Linked DNA regions of Drosophila melanogaster. The protein of the gene in region 2 purifies or fractionates together with the protein of the main gene of each other region. This does not show direct contact. Each region holds a gene or a part of one and is shown on either strand. Other genes may lie near its edges. The genes, in order: Df31, Fkbp12 and Chd64.

Evidence for each region.
Region 1: the proteins of Fkbp12 (region 2) and Df31 purify together in Drosophila melanogaster (affinity purification with mass spectrometry, with the first as the bait; one large-scale study listed by BioGRID). This does not show direct contact.
Region 3: the proteins of Fkbp12 (region 2) and Chd64 purify together in Drosophila melanogaster (affinity purification with mass spectrometry, with the first as the bait; one large-scale study listed by BioGRID). This does not show direct contact.

What each region holds. Positions count from the first base shown.
Region 1 is NT_033779.5:21,627,804-21,631,561, reverse strand, and holds the start of Df31 (decondensation factor 31), read left to right. Parts: upstream 1-1,629; 5' UTR 1,630-1,869; coding exon 1,870-1,895; intron 1,896-2,585; exon of another isoform or gene 2,586-2,911; intron 2,912-2,975; exon of another isoform or gene 2,976-3,100; intron 3,101-3,352; coding exon 3,353-3,720; intron 3,721-3,758.
Region 2 is NT_033778.4:19,288,253-19,291,620, forward strand, and holds Fkbp12 (FK506-binding protein 12kD), read left to right. Parts: upstream 1-1,856; 5' UTR 1,857-1,936; coding exon 1,937-1,973; intron 1,974-2,133; coding exon 2,134-2,204; intron 2,205-2,265; coding exon 2,266-2,484; 3' UTR 2,485-2,710; downstream 2,711-3,368. Other genes in the region: AANATL6 (arylalkylamine N-acetyltransferase-like 6), read left to right, coding at 1-399; AANATL4 (arylalkylamine N-acetyltransferase-like 4), read left to right, coding at 874-1,548; mip40 (Myb-interacting protein 40), read right to left, coding at 3,042-3,368. UniProt on the Drosophila melanogaster protein: PPIases accelerate the folding of proteins. It catalyzes the cis-trans isomerization of proline imidic peptide bonds in oligopeptides.
Region 3 is NT_037436.4:4,120,273-4,124,030, reverse strand, and holds the start of Chd64 (Chd64), read left to right. Parts: upstream 1-1,642; 5' UTR 1,643-1,821; coding exon 1,822-1,875; intron 1,876-3,758.

The DNA.
Region 1 (3,758 bases), on a different chromosome or scaffold from region 2:
CTTTGCTGCGAACTTAGACATTAGAGCATAACTGATTTGAATTCAATCTTTTTTGTGCGTTCAAGGGGATTTCAAAATGGTTGAGAATATTAACCTTAGACCAGTAGTGCCCAATTTCCTGCGTCGCGGAAAAATCTGTTTTCTTTAATTATTGGTCGATATATCGCCTTAGAATATCGTGTCGAAAGTTTCAAAAGCTAATTCTCGAAATTTTGGGAGATGCCCTTCGGATTTCGGAAGTCATACTTTCCTTGACGGCAATCTTTAAACCATGTTTGGTTCTATATGAAGTAAAGACTTTTCAATACAAACGAATGCCTCGTTCCTATAATTATATTTTAGAAACAAGAAACAACCCCAAAGCAAGGCTAAATGGAATAAACCCAAAATTTTACAGACGATGAAATCGAAAACCCGAAACAAATCACCCACCTGTAAAGCAAACATCCGTTGTCCAATTTTATTAAATCAGCATGTTTTCACGTTCCAAGCCGACACTCACAAGCTCGAAAGCAAAAGTTTGAATTTCAATAAATAAAATCTTAAAAATCTAATAGCGCTTGTATCCAAGAGCGAATGCACTTCACTCCAAAAGCCAAAGACACTAGATTATTCTAGTGTCTTTGCAAAAGCCCATTAAAATTTTACAGCCCAAAGTCCATATTAAAAAAGCTCGAGACCGAGGATTGATCGTCAATCAATATAGATCAATAAGTGGAGTTTAGCATGAGACCTAAAATTAAATGTTGACTTATGAAAATTGAAAACTTGTAATTATATGTATGTATAATAGCGTCTATGTTCTTCGGCAATGGAATCTCAGTCCTAGTGTATTGTTTTCCTTGCCAATAGCCTAAAATATTGTAAAATTTTAGTGAAGCAGAAAATTTACCAGCTGCCTGGTAGCGCACTCTAATTCTTTTTTCTATTATACCGATCAAGGGACGCAGACAAGGCCACTATACATATGTATGTATGTACGTACTTATGCGTGCATATCTGACTACCTGAAAATGTTTTCAGAGGGGTGAGGATTATTTCCGTCGGTTTTATGTGTTTGATTACATACATATGACATATCTTTAAGATATTATTTTTAAGATCTTGTAGACTGTGTAATTTACAAGGAAATTGATTGATGTAATTTAATAAAAAGCTTGAATTTTTTAAAAATGACGATATGTGTATATATATATATATGAACATACATGTTTGTGTGTTTGTTTATTTAATTTTTAGGAGTACCGGATCAAAAAAAAAACTTAGAATTGGGAAGGTGTATTACACGAAAAATCACTCAGGTCAATGAGAAAAACAAGGATAGGAATGCATTTGAATATTTTACCTGCTATATTTGTGTAGCCGCTAAATAATAGTTAAAAGGTGGCAGCCCTTTTTAGGGGACCGTTATTTTGAAATATTTGTCACTGCTATATTTCATCTCTTTAATATATTAAAATAAAATTGTAAAAATCTATCAGCATAAGCTAACTCCGAATTAAATAGAGAACGGGTGATAACGATAACAAACAAAGATATGTTTTCCGGAGGCGGAACTATCGCAAGCGGACTACCGACGTCTACCAACACTACAGGGCGGCGCTTTAAAAGCCGGTCCGACGCTCACCGCTCTCTCATTCGGCGTTTTTCTTTGTGACTGTGTGGACGTTCTTAATTGTACGGCAAAATCTCCAGCAACCAAGCTACTTTCTTAGCAAAGCTACTAAAGAGGAAACTATATTGATAAAATTTCGTTCTTTTAAAATCTTTGTGCTGATATTTAAGGCGTGCTTGGTGATCCAAAAACCCTCAGTTACAACGTGTTTTCTCGCTTCGCGTTTGAAAAGTAATATCTAACAGTAATTCAAAATGGCTGATGTGGCTGAGCAAAAGAAGTGAGTACTTTGCTTGCCTTGTTTTCGGACGTTTGTGGATTTTGTTTAAGCAATGGACTTGTAGCGAATTTTGCTAATGAAAATCTATGTTATTTGCCGAAAAGATTTGGAAATTTTCTTTTGAATTCTGTGTCTATATACGCAAACCGCTTGTTGGCACTAATGTAGTTGTCTCGTTCCCGCCAAAGGCAAAACGGTGTGCGCGCAAAAACCGACGCCGTTTAATTTGGCGCGGCGTCATGGTGCCTTCTCGCTCTTTCTCCGGCCGGCAAACAGCAACGATGAATTATTTGTGTGTGTGTGTGTAGCGGCGGAGTAATGCGTTGAGTGTATGCGGACGACAGGCCAAATGCGCAAAAGTCTATAGACATGTGTGTGTGTATGCGTGTGCAGCATTCAAGTTGCCGCTCTTTTCTTGTGCTGTTTCATTTCATCTGTCTGTGCTACCTCGTATGTTGCTTTGCTGCGTTTCTCACCAGACATCAAATTTCGAGGCTTGCCTTTTATACCCATTTGATAGCTTAAAGCTCGAAGCTTGAAATTAACAGTATAAATTTTCACGCATATCTATATTGGCATTACCAAAAATACTCCCTCTTTCCCTATCGATGAACACTTATGTATATATTTTTTTTAAGTAGTTATTATATGTTGCAGCTTATAATACATAACAAAACAAAACTCATGCCTAAGGCTGTTCCGGTTTTCTTTGAAAGACGCAGGTTGTATGACGTTATGCTACTGTTTGTATCGTTTGGACCGTTATTTTTGTCGTTTAGCGTTGCTACTTTGCAACTCTCTTTTTGTTCGCCCTATAGAATTCTATCTACCTCAGATGGCGAGTATCTGTTGGTAGATGAGTGCGAGAGAAACGACTATATTGTCATTAATCCCATTAAAACTGGTTTTTATTTCTATCTTTGTTCGTTTTAGTTTAAACGGGTCTCGCTTTTCATTTTGCACGTCTGCAAGCGTGTTTTTGGTTCTACCCTGTTCTCATCTGTTGGTAGAGAGCACTGAAATAACAAATGAATATATGCCATTTATATGAAAAAGAGCGTGCCGCCTAATCGCACTCACCTTTTCGCGCTTCCTTTTGCGTCGCAGCTTGCACGAGTTGTTGATCCCATTTTTGAAAAACGCCGGCAGATGTAACAATGCACTTTTTTTTTAGTTTTAATTCCGAACGTCCTGGGGCTCTTATGAATAGAAAGTGGAGGATGAAAACATAAACGTTACCTACCGGCGCTATATTGAAATTTTTCTTTTTTTTTTTTAAATTCAATTAATATTTAATTAATTAATAATTAATAGTTTTAGTTTTTGATAATTTTTAATTGATTTACTGTTTAGAGTTTTGTATGTAGTAGAATGCTATGCATACGAAGTTCAGTTCGGCCACCTTCGGAAAAAATTATAAGTGCATACTGACTTTCGTCTCTGATTATCACCCACAGTGAGACCCCTGTTGTCGAGAAGGTCGCAGCTGAGGAAGTTGATGCTGTGAAGAAAGATGCAGTTGCCGCCGAGGAGGTAGCAGCTGAGAAGGCGAGCATCACAGAAAACGGTGGCGCCGAAGAGGAGAGCGTAGCCAAGGAGAACGGAGCCGCCGACAGCAGCGCGACCGAGCCCACCGACGCAGTCGATGGTGAAAAGGCGTCTGAGCCCACTGTTTCTTTTGCCGCCGATAAGGATGAGAAGAAGGACGAGGATAAAAAAGAGGATTCCGCTGCCGATGGGGAGGACACCAAAAAAGAGAGCAGCGAAGCTGTTCTACCTGCTGTCGAGAATGGCTCCGAGGAGGTCACCAACGGTGACTCAACAGGTATGATGATATCAATGATATCAATGCCAAACAAATTT
Region 2 (3,368 bases):
ATGGCCAAGCAGCACAAGGAAGCCGAGGAAATGGAGCCAAATGCTTTGGGTCGCAGCAGGAAATTTATAGCCAAAGTGGAGCGCGAAGCCAACATTTTCGAACGCTTCGGAGTCTCCTCCTACCTGAGTCTGCTGGTCATCTCCGTTCACCCCTCAATGAGGCAAAGAGGTATCTTGGTCATACTTTCCAAATGTCTCTTTAAATTGGGTCGCCTGCGGGGACACACTCTGTTCATCACCAGCGGAACCAATCACTACTCCTCCCGGTCGGCGATGAAAGCGGGATGTGAGTGCATCCATTCGGTGGCCTATGCTGACTACAAGGACGAGTTGGGTCGGCCGATATATAATCCACCAGCGCCCCATACCCACATTCGGGTCTTGGCCTCAAAAATGTAAAAATTAAAATAATTTATTAATTAATTATTACTTTGGCCTTGGCAATTGATAAAGGTCGTCGAGCTGGAAACGCAAGTCCATATGGATCAAATAAAGTAATAAAATGTAGAACGGTCTACTTTATTGTTCAGATATTGTGTTGATTATGTATTTATCGACACATGACCTTGCAATAATTACAAAATCTGATATTAAGTAATCACTTTCCACTCGATGTATTTATCCTCAAAGATTTTGGGTCAGAAAACCATATTCGAAAAATGTTTATTACTAAAAGGATAAGTCAGTCTGGCACTTCATTAAAAATAAAACCAAAAGCCGTTGGAAACAACTTTCTCTTCGCCAAACAGAAACAATCTATAAATATGATAAGCCATTATCAGTGATAAGCGCCGAAGTATAAAAGCCATGTACACATCGGCGTCCTCTTCTGTCTTAAGAAAAGCATATAGAACGAATTAGCTCCGGATCGCGATGACTCCCACGACAATAGATGGCGTCACGATACGCATCATGCGCCCAGAGGATTATGCACAGGTAAAAGCCTATATGGAGGCTGAGTACTACACATCGGAGCCTCTGTGCCAGTCCAGCGGCGAACCCGTTCACCAGCAGAACGAGGAGATCAACGACGCCTTCAACCAGTCGATAATCGCCGAGGGCACCAGCCTTTTGGCACTGGATGAAAACGATGGTGGCCGGATTGTGGGTCTAGTTCTGGCATGTGCCAGTTATCCCGATAATGTGAATGCAGGAACATTGAATTTGAAGCTCGAGAATGTGGAGGATAACGCTTGGGGTCGAATGTATCATTTACTAATGAAGGCCAAGCGCGAAGTCAATCTGTTTGAGCGCTACGACATCCCGAAGGCGCTCTACTCCCACGTGACCAGCGTGGCCTCGTGGAAGAGGGGCAAGGGCCTGGGCTCCCGCCTGGCCGCCACCCTGATGGAGCTGGGCCGATCGAATGGTTTCCCCCTTATGATGGCCTTCTGCACTAGCTTCTACTCCGCTCGCCAGAAGGGGGCCTTGGGCATGGAGTGCATCTATTCCATCGACTACGCCGACTATAAGGACGATGAAGGACGAGTGATCTTCACACCGGCAGCCCCACACACAAAGCTGCGAGTGATGGCAATCAAACTGTGACAGTTGATAACAAATAACTGAGTCGAGGAATTTAAATAAATTATATAACTATAGTTATGTTTATTTAATACTTAGCACACTTTTGGGGGACCTATACAAGTTGACCAATGACCAATGTGTCTCGGACTTTAAGATAAGAGGCAAGATCTTGCACTGCTTTATTCTTTCGGTTCATAGTAAACAATTCAAACGGACGCGCCAAAATACAAAAACGTCCTTATCGATAACTCGGAAAGCAATTGGTTTTGATAATTAATCAAATTGATGTGTGCGATAGTTTCCGCTCACCGACCATCGCCCACCGCTAGCTGTCATTCGGCGACGCGACGAACTGAAATCAACGTGCTTATTTTCCGCTCGGTAATTTGCCAGAAAAAAACTAATCGAAATGGGCGTACAAGTAGTTCCAATTGCTCCTGGTGATGGTGAGTATCCAATGATTGGGTTAGAATCCGCAAGAAATGCCGTAAACTACCGGCCTTTCTAACCTATTTAGTGCATTTTCGCAATGCACAATTCGGAAATACCTGCGACAATATGGTCGTCCCGCTCACACACATCCATTTTTGCATTCCCCGCCCGCAGGCAGCACCTATCCCAAGAATGGCCAAAAGGTCACGGTCCACTACACCGGCACCCTGGACGATGGCACCAAGGTGAGTACGAATCCCGATCCTCGCCATCCCCAGCTAATGATCCGCCTTGAATTCCACGCAGTTCGATTCGTCGCGCGACCGCAACAAGCCATTCAAGTTCACCATCGGCAAGGGCGAGGTCATCCGTGGCTGGGATGAGGGAGTTGCCCAGTTGAGCGTCGGCCAGCGCGCCAAGCTGATTTGCTCGCCGGACTATGCCTACGGTAGCCGTGGCCACCCCGGCGTCATTCCGCCCAACTCCACCCTCACCTTCGACGTCGAGCTGCTCAAGGTCGAATAGGCGCACAGGATGCCCAATGTGTATACCCCAAACCAAATCGCAGGGGGTTGCGGACCGGCGCACCGGCGACGAGCCGAAGAACATCATAATCGGAACCAGAACAATCCAGCAGCATTTGCCAACCCAAAATAATAATGATAACTTCATACACAGCTCTAAACTAGAACTAATTTAACCGCAAAGGGAACGCATCTTCTACCAATACAAATAAACATTTATTCAAGTCAATGACAAATGTCTTTCTTATCAAAAATCTTGGGATAATCCAATCAAATCAGCTGCGGTTGCCTTTCCGTGCTGCAATACAAATGCATTTCATATTATTTTTTAATCAGGAAAATATGCAAATATAAAAACGCTTTATCATTCTCTTGATAGACTTGAAGTGGTCTACTTGACAAATTTGATTTTATTTTATATAAGTATATAAAGTGTACAAGCATCTTATTTGCATATATATTCGATTTGGAAACAGGATTTTTTTTAATTCTTTGTGCACAATTAATCCAAATTATTTTTCATTTTCTATACCACTTCCAAAATCACCTAGATACGCTTCAGTTTTTGCAGACCAAGCTCATAATCTTGTCAATAACTTCATATCGCTCCTTTTCATACTTCTTGATATGCTTTATCCAGTGTCCGCGCACTTTCTTCCAGCGGTTCATATTGGAGGACAGAAGATCGGAGGTACTGGCACCTTGGAGAGCCTTTTCCCGCTTCTTGTCCTCCTGGCTGAACTCCAGACGAGGCGGAATTATGGGCAGATCCGTGGACTTGGCCTGCGGGAGCTGGTTGATCACCTTTATCTCGCCGCTTTTAATTTGGGACAGGATTTCTTCGCCGTTGTCCTCACGTTTGGTGGCCGTGAGTGAAGCATCTGT
Region 3 (3,758 bases), on a different chromosome or scaffold from region 2:
TTAAGTTTAATACGTTGAGCCAACGAATCGTGAGGTATTATTTATTTAAACAAAACGAAACAAACGAAAAAAAAAAAACATAGGAAAGAGGAGGAAATAAGGAAATTCAATTGAAATTATTTGCTGATACTGTTCGCAGCTAGTCGAGCAGATACATAGGTAGCCTGTAAACAATAAAACAATTACACGCGGATATATACACCCACTGTAATCACAGATGTCAGTGCTTGATATACACATGCCTAGGTCTAGTGGAACTGGTAGTTCTACCATGTTGTACTATTTGTAGTAGGAGTCCCAAATCTGATTATGCTTATGTCACCCTTTATTATAGGAATGTTCTCTGTATATTATTGCGTCTCTTTTGCGTCTACGTATATATTTTTTGGTAAATGATTTTTTATATATACATATACACATTTATATTTGTAATTTGTATTTATCCATGTGCAAAAATAAATTATGATGATTATTTTTTAAAGAGTCGTCCCCCTCGAAGCATGCATAACAGATTGTAAAAAATGAATCGATTTATATATAATACGAAAATCACACACTACCCACTTGTATCTGAGCGAAAGGGCCTTAACAATTAGTAGGATGCATGATCGATGTATGCAGATCGGTTATAAAAACAGATATAGCAGGCATATTATTCGCATGCGAAAACCGTTAATAGAATAATATATTATAATGGCAATATGTGTATGCAACTAATAAGCCCTAACTTCTAGTTAATTACTGCTTTCCTATGTTATAAACCAAATGGCGATATAATCAAAACAAAAGACAAGCCCACATAAGTTAAATGTGTATGCTACCAACATAACAAACCTTTGAAGATCAAGCTGAATTATGTATTTCTAATATTAAATATATCACAACCCACACATAAAAAAAAAAAAACAAACACGACAAATAGAACAACAAATTATACAAGCAATTCCCCTATTTATTTAGAACCACACTGAAACACTAAAGAAATTCGCTTCTTATCGTAAATCCACAATTGCATAATTTATACGATTAAACAAAATATATATTTATGTGAATAAACTGTAACTAATTCTCAAGGCAATCATCCAAATGCGATTCGCTACTTCTTGGTTTCCAGAAAGTCCCCCAAAAATGTCATGGTCATCTGAATGGAATGCTGCTGCAAGAACCTCTCGATAAGGGGGAACATAGGAAGTTTTCAATGGAACTTTACTCTGGCGAATCTTATCGGATAGTTTGTACACAACCGCAAAAAGTAGCACTAATAGTGGTTGACTTCTATTAAAAGTAAAGCAACAGGTGGATCATGGAAATCATACTGATTCAGATTCATTATCTTTTCAAAACCTATTGAAAACAAAAGTTACTGGTTTAGAAGGCAAATGAACCAGAAATTTTAAATTTATACTTATATAGTGTAAAATTGTTTCCAGTGCTCGATAGTTCCATGTTTTATTATTTGAAAAACAACTGCCGTTAACAAAGCGGTATGACATCATCAATGCCATCATAACAAATCAGCTGCCGCTGATAAGCGCAGCTTGGAGCTTTTATGTTGTACCCAACCTACTAGGTACAAGACTGAGTGTGCTTTACAACACTAAACTGTTGGCGAGCTTTCCTCTGTTTCGCAGCTCGGACCGCCTTTCATAACGTAGTAAGTTTTCGTTGCGAACGGACGTAGCCCAACCAACTTGGCCTTAACCCTTGCGCTCCCTCCGATTTATTCCGCGGCAAACACATTCCAGTGGACAGTGGTGCAGTTCAGCCCAAGACCAACCTACATTTTAGCTCCCTGCAAACCCGTTTCTTCATCAAATAACTATGGCGTCCAACCGTGCAGCGAAGTCTGGTTTTGCCGCCGAGGCCCAGCGCAAAGTAAGTACCAAATAGCAACAACAACCGCACCCCCCACCCAAAAACCGAAGAGCGCCAAACAAAACAACACAATAAACAAATTGCCCAAAAAAAAATCAACTTTTGCACGGGTGTGTGCGTGAGTTTAGAGCTGCATTGACTTTATTTGGCGCTGCGTTGTCAAGATTTTATCTTCGCGCGCCAAATGCCAAAAATTAGCCAAAAATGGTCTTGAAATTGCCAGCGTCTAACAAGGAATGACCTCATTTCGCTGATAAGTCGAACAAGTATTTATGTACATACATATGTATATAGGAATATATACATGCATGTACACACATGTGTAATGCATGCGTAATTCGAAAGCTTGAAGATGATTTAGGTGATTTTGAGGCATTGTCAGTGCGGGTGATTCAAATCGAAGATCGAGAAAACAGTTGGTTATCCATAAATCAAACAATTAGTAGTAGTTAGTAAAGCTCTGGAAATTTCGATATGAATAATATCCCAAGTTCGAACAGTATACATTATAAAGATGAGCTAATATAATCCTAATTAATTGTGCTGCAATAAAAGCAAGTCTGAATACATAGGTGCTACTTGTGGAGTATCCACTGTAGAAGGAAGACCCTTTGGATGATCTCAACCCAACTATTGCAGCATGGTAGCTTCCGCAATGTAAATTGACATTAGTTCCGTCCATTAGCAGCACTTTGCCTCAAATGCACTCATACAAATGCATCGGGCTTTTGTGGGTGGGATGGGGTTGGGGATGGGTTACCCGTACCCTTCGGCCATTTGGCCCTCGTCAAGTCGGGGTTACGCAATTCCAACCGCCCCTGGGCAGCCCCAAGTGAAATTGTATATGTCGCCGGCACAGGGGATTAAGTGCAGTCCGACGAAATCCACAACAAGACAACTACAGTTACAGCATTGCCCAAACAAAAAACGAAACAAATAATCGAGATTTTTCATATCCGAAGTTTTGTATACCCTTGAGGAGCACTTTACCAAGTTGTTGACAAACTGAAATATTTTGTTTTGCTTTAGCTTTGCTTATCTAAAAGTATTTCCACCCGGATTTCATTCTCTTGAGTCAGCCATTTGGCAAAAGGCCTTGTTTATCGGTATTATCTGTACTAGCGCATTTTTAAAACACAGTATGTTTTAAAACACAGTATGAAGTATGTTTTAACGTGGTTTATGGTGATATATCAGGCACTATGGTTATGAAAAATATTATGAGAACTCTGTAGTGTTTATTTATGCCATATCATGTTAAGCTAAAACATTTTGGTACTTGGAATAGGAAGAACCTTGGCATAGGGTATAGAAAAATAAGAGAAATAGAGGCGAGTGCCTGGAGGCGCAGCTGCTGGCGCGACTCCAAGCCGCGATCGAATGGCTCCCCAGGAGCCGAAGGCGATGATGTCATTCCTTCAGCTGTCCCTCCACTGGTGCTCCTCGATCCCTTCGCGATCCATTCAACTCGAAGGCGTTGTTAGTTTGAGCACTTTTGCCGCTCGCTGGGAGTCACTCATATCTTCTGAGGGGGATTCGGGTTCGGGTTTTGAGTTTTTGGGGGTGACAGGAGGTAGAGGCGATAGCAGCACCTTTTCCACCACATGAGCACTTAAAACTGAGTATGTGGCGTAAGCAAACAGCAAAACAAAAGTGAGGCAAAAAGGTATGAAAGCAATATTTTTGTTTGTCTCATGGGTTCTCTACACTCCGTGCTTGCGTGTGTGCTTTTTCCGACTTTTACGACCAGTCACCGACAAATTGGCATGGATCTCAAGTTTCGGCCAGGGAATTCGTAGCCCCTTTATTTTCAACCCTTTCCTGGGATCGTAGCACCAGCTGTCGGGAAAGTTCTAGGAATGAGGCAGAAAGGTCTCAAGTTA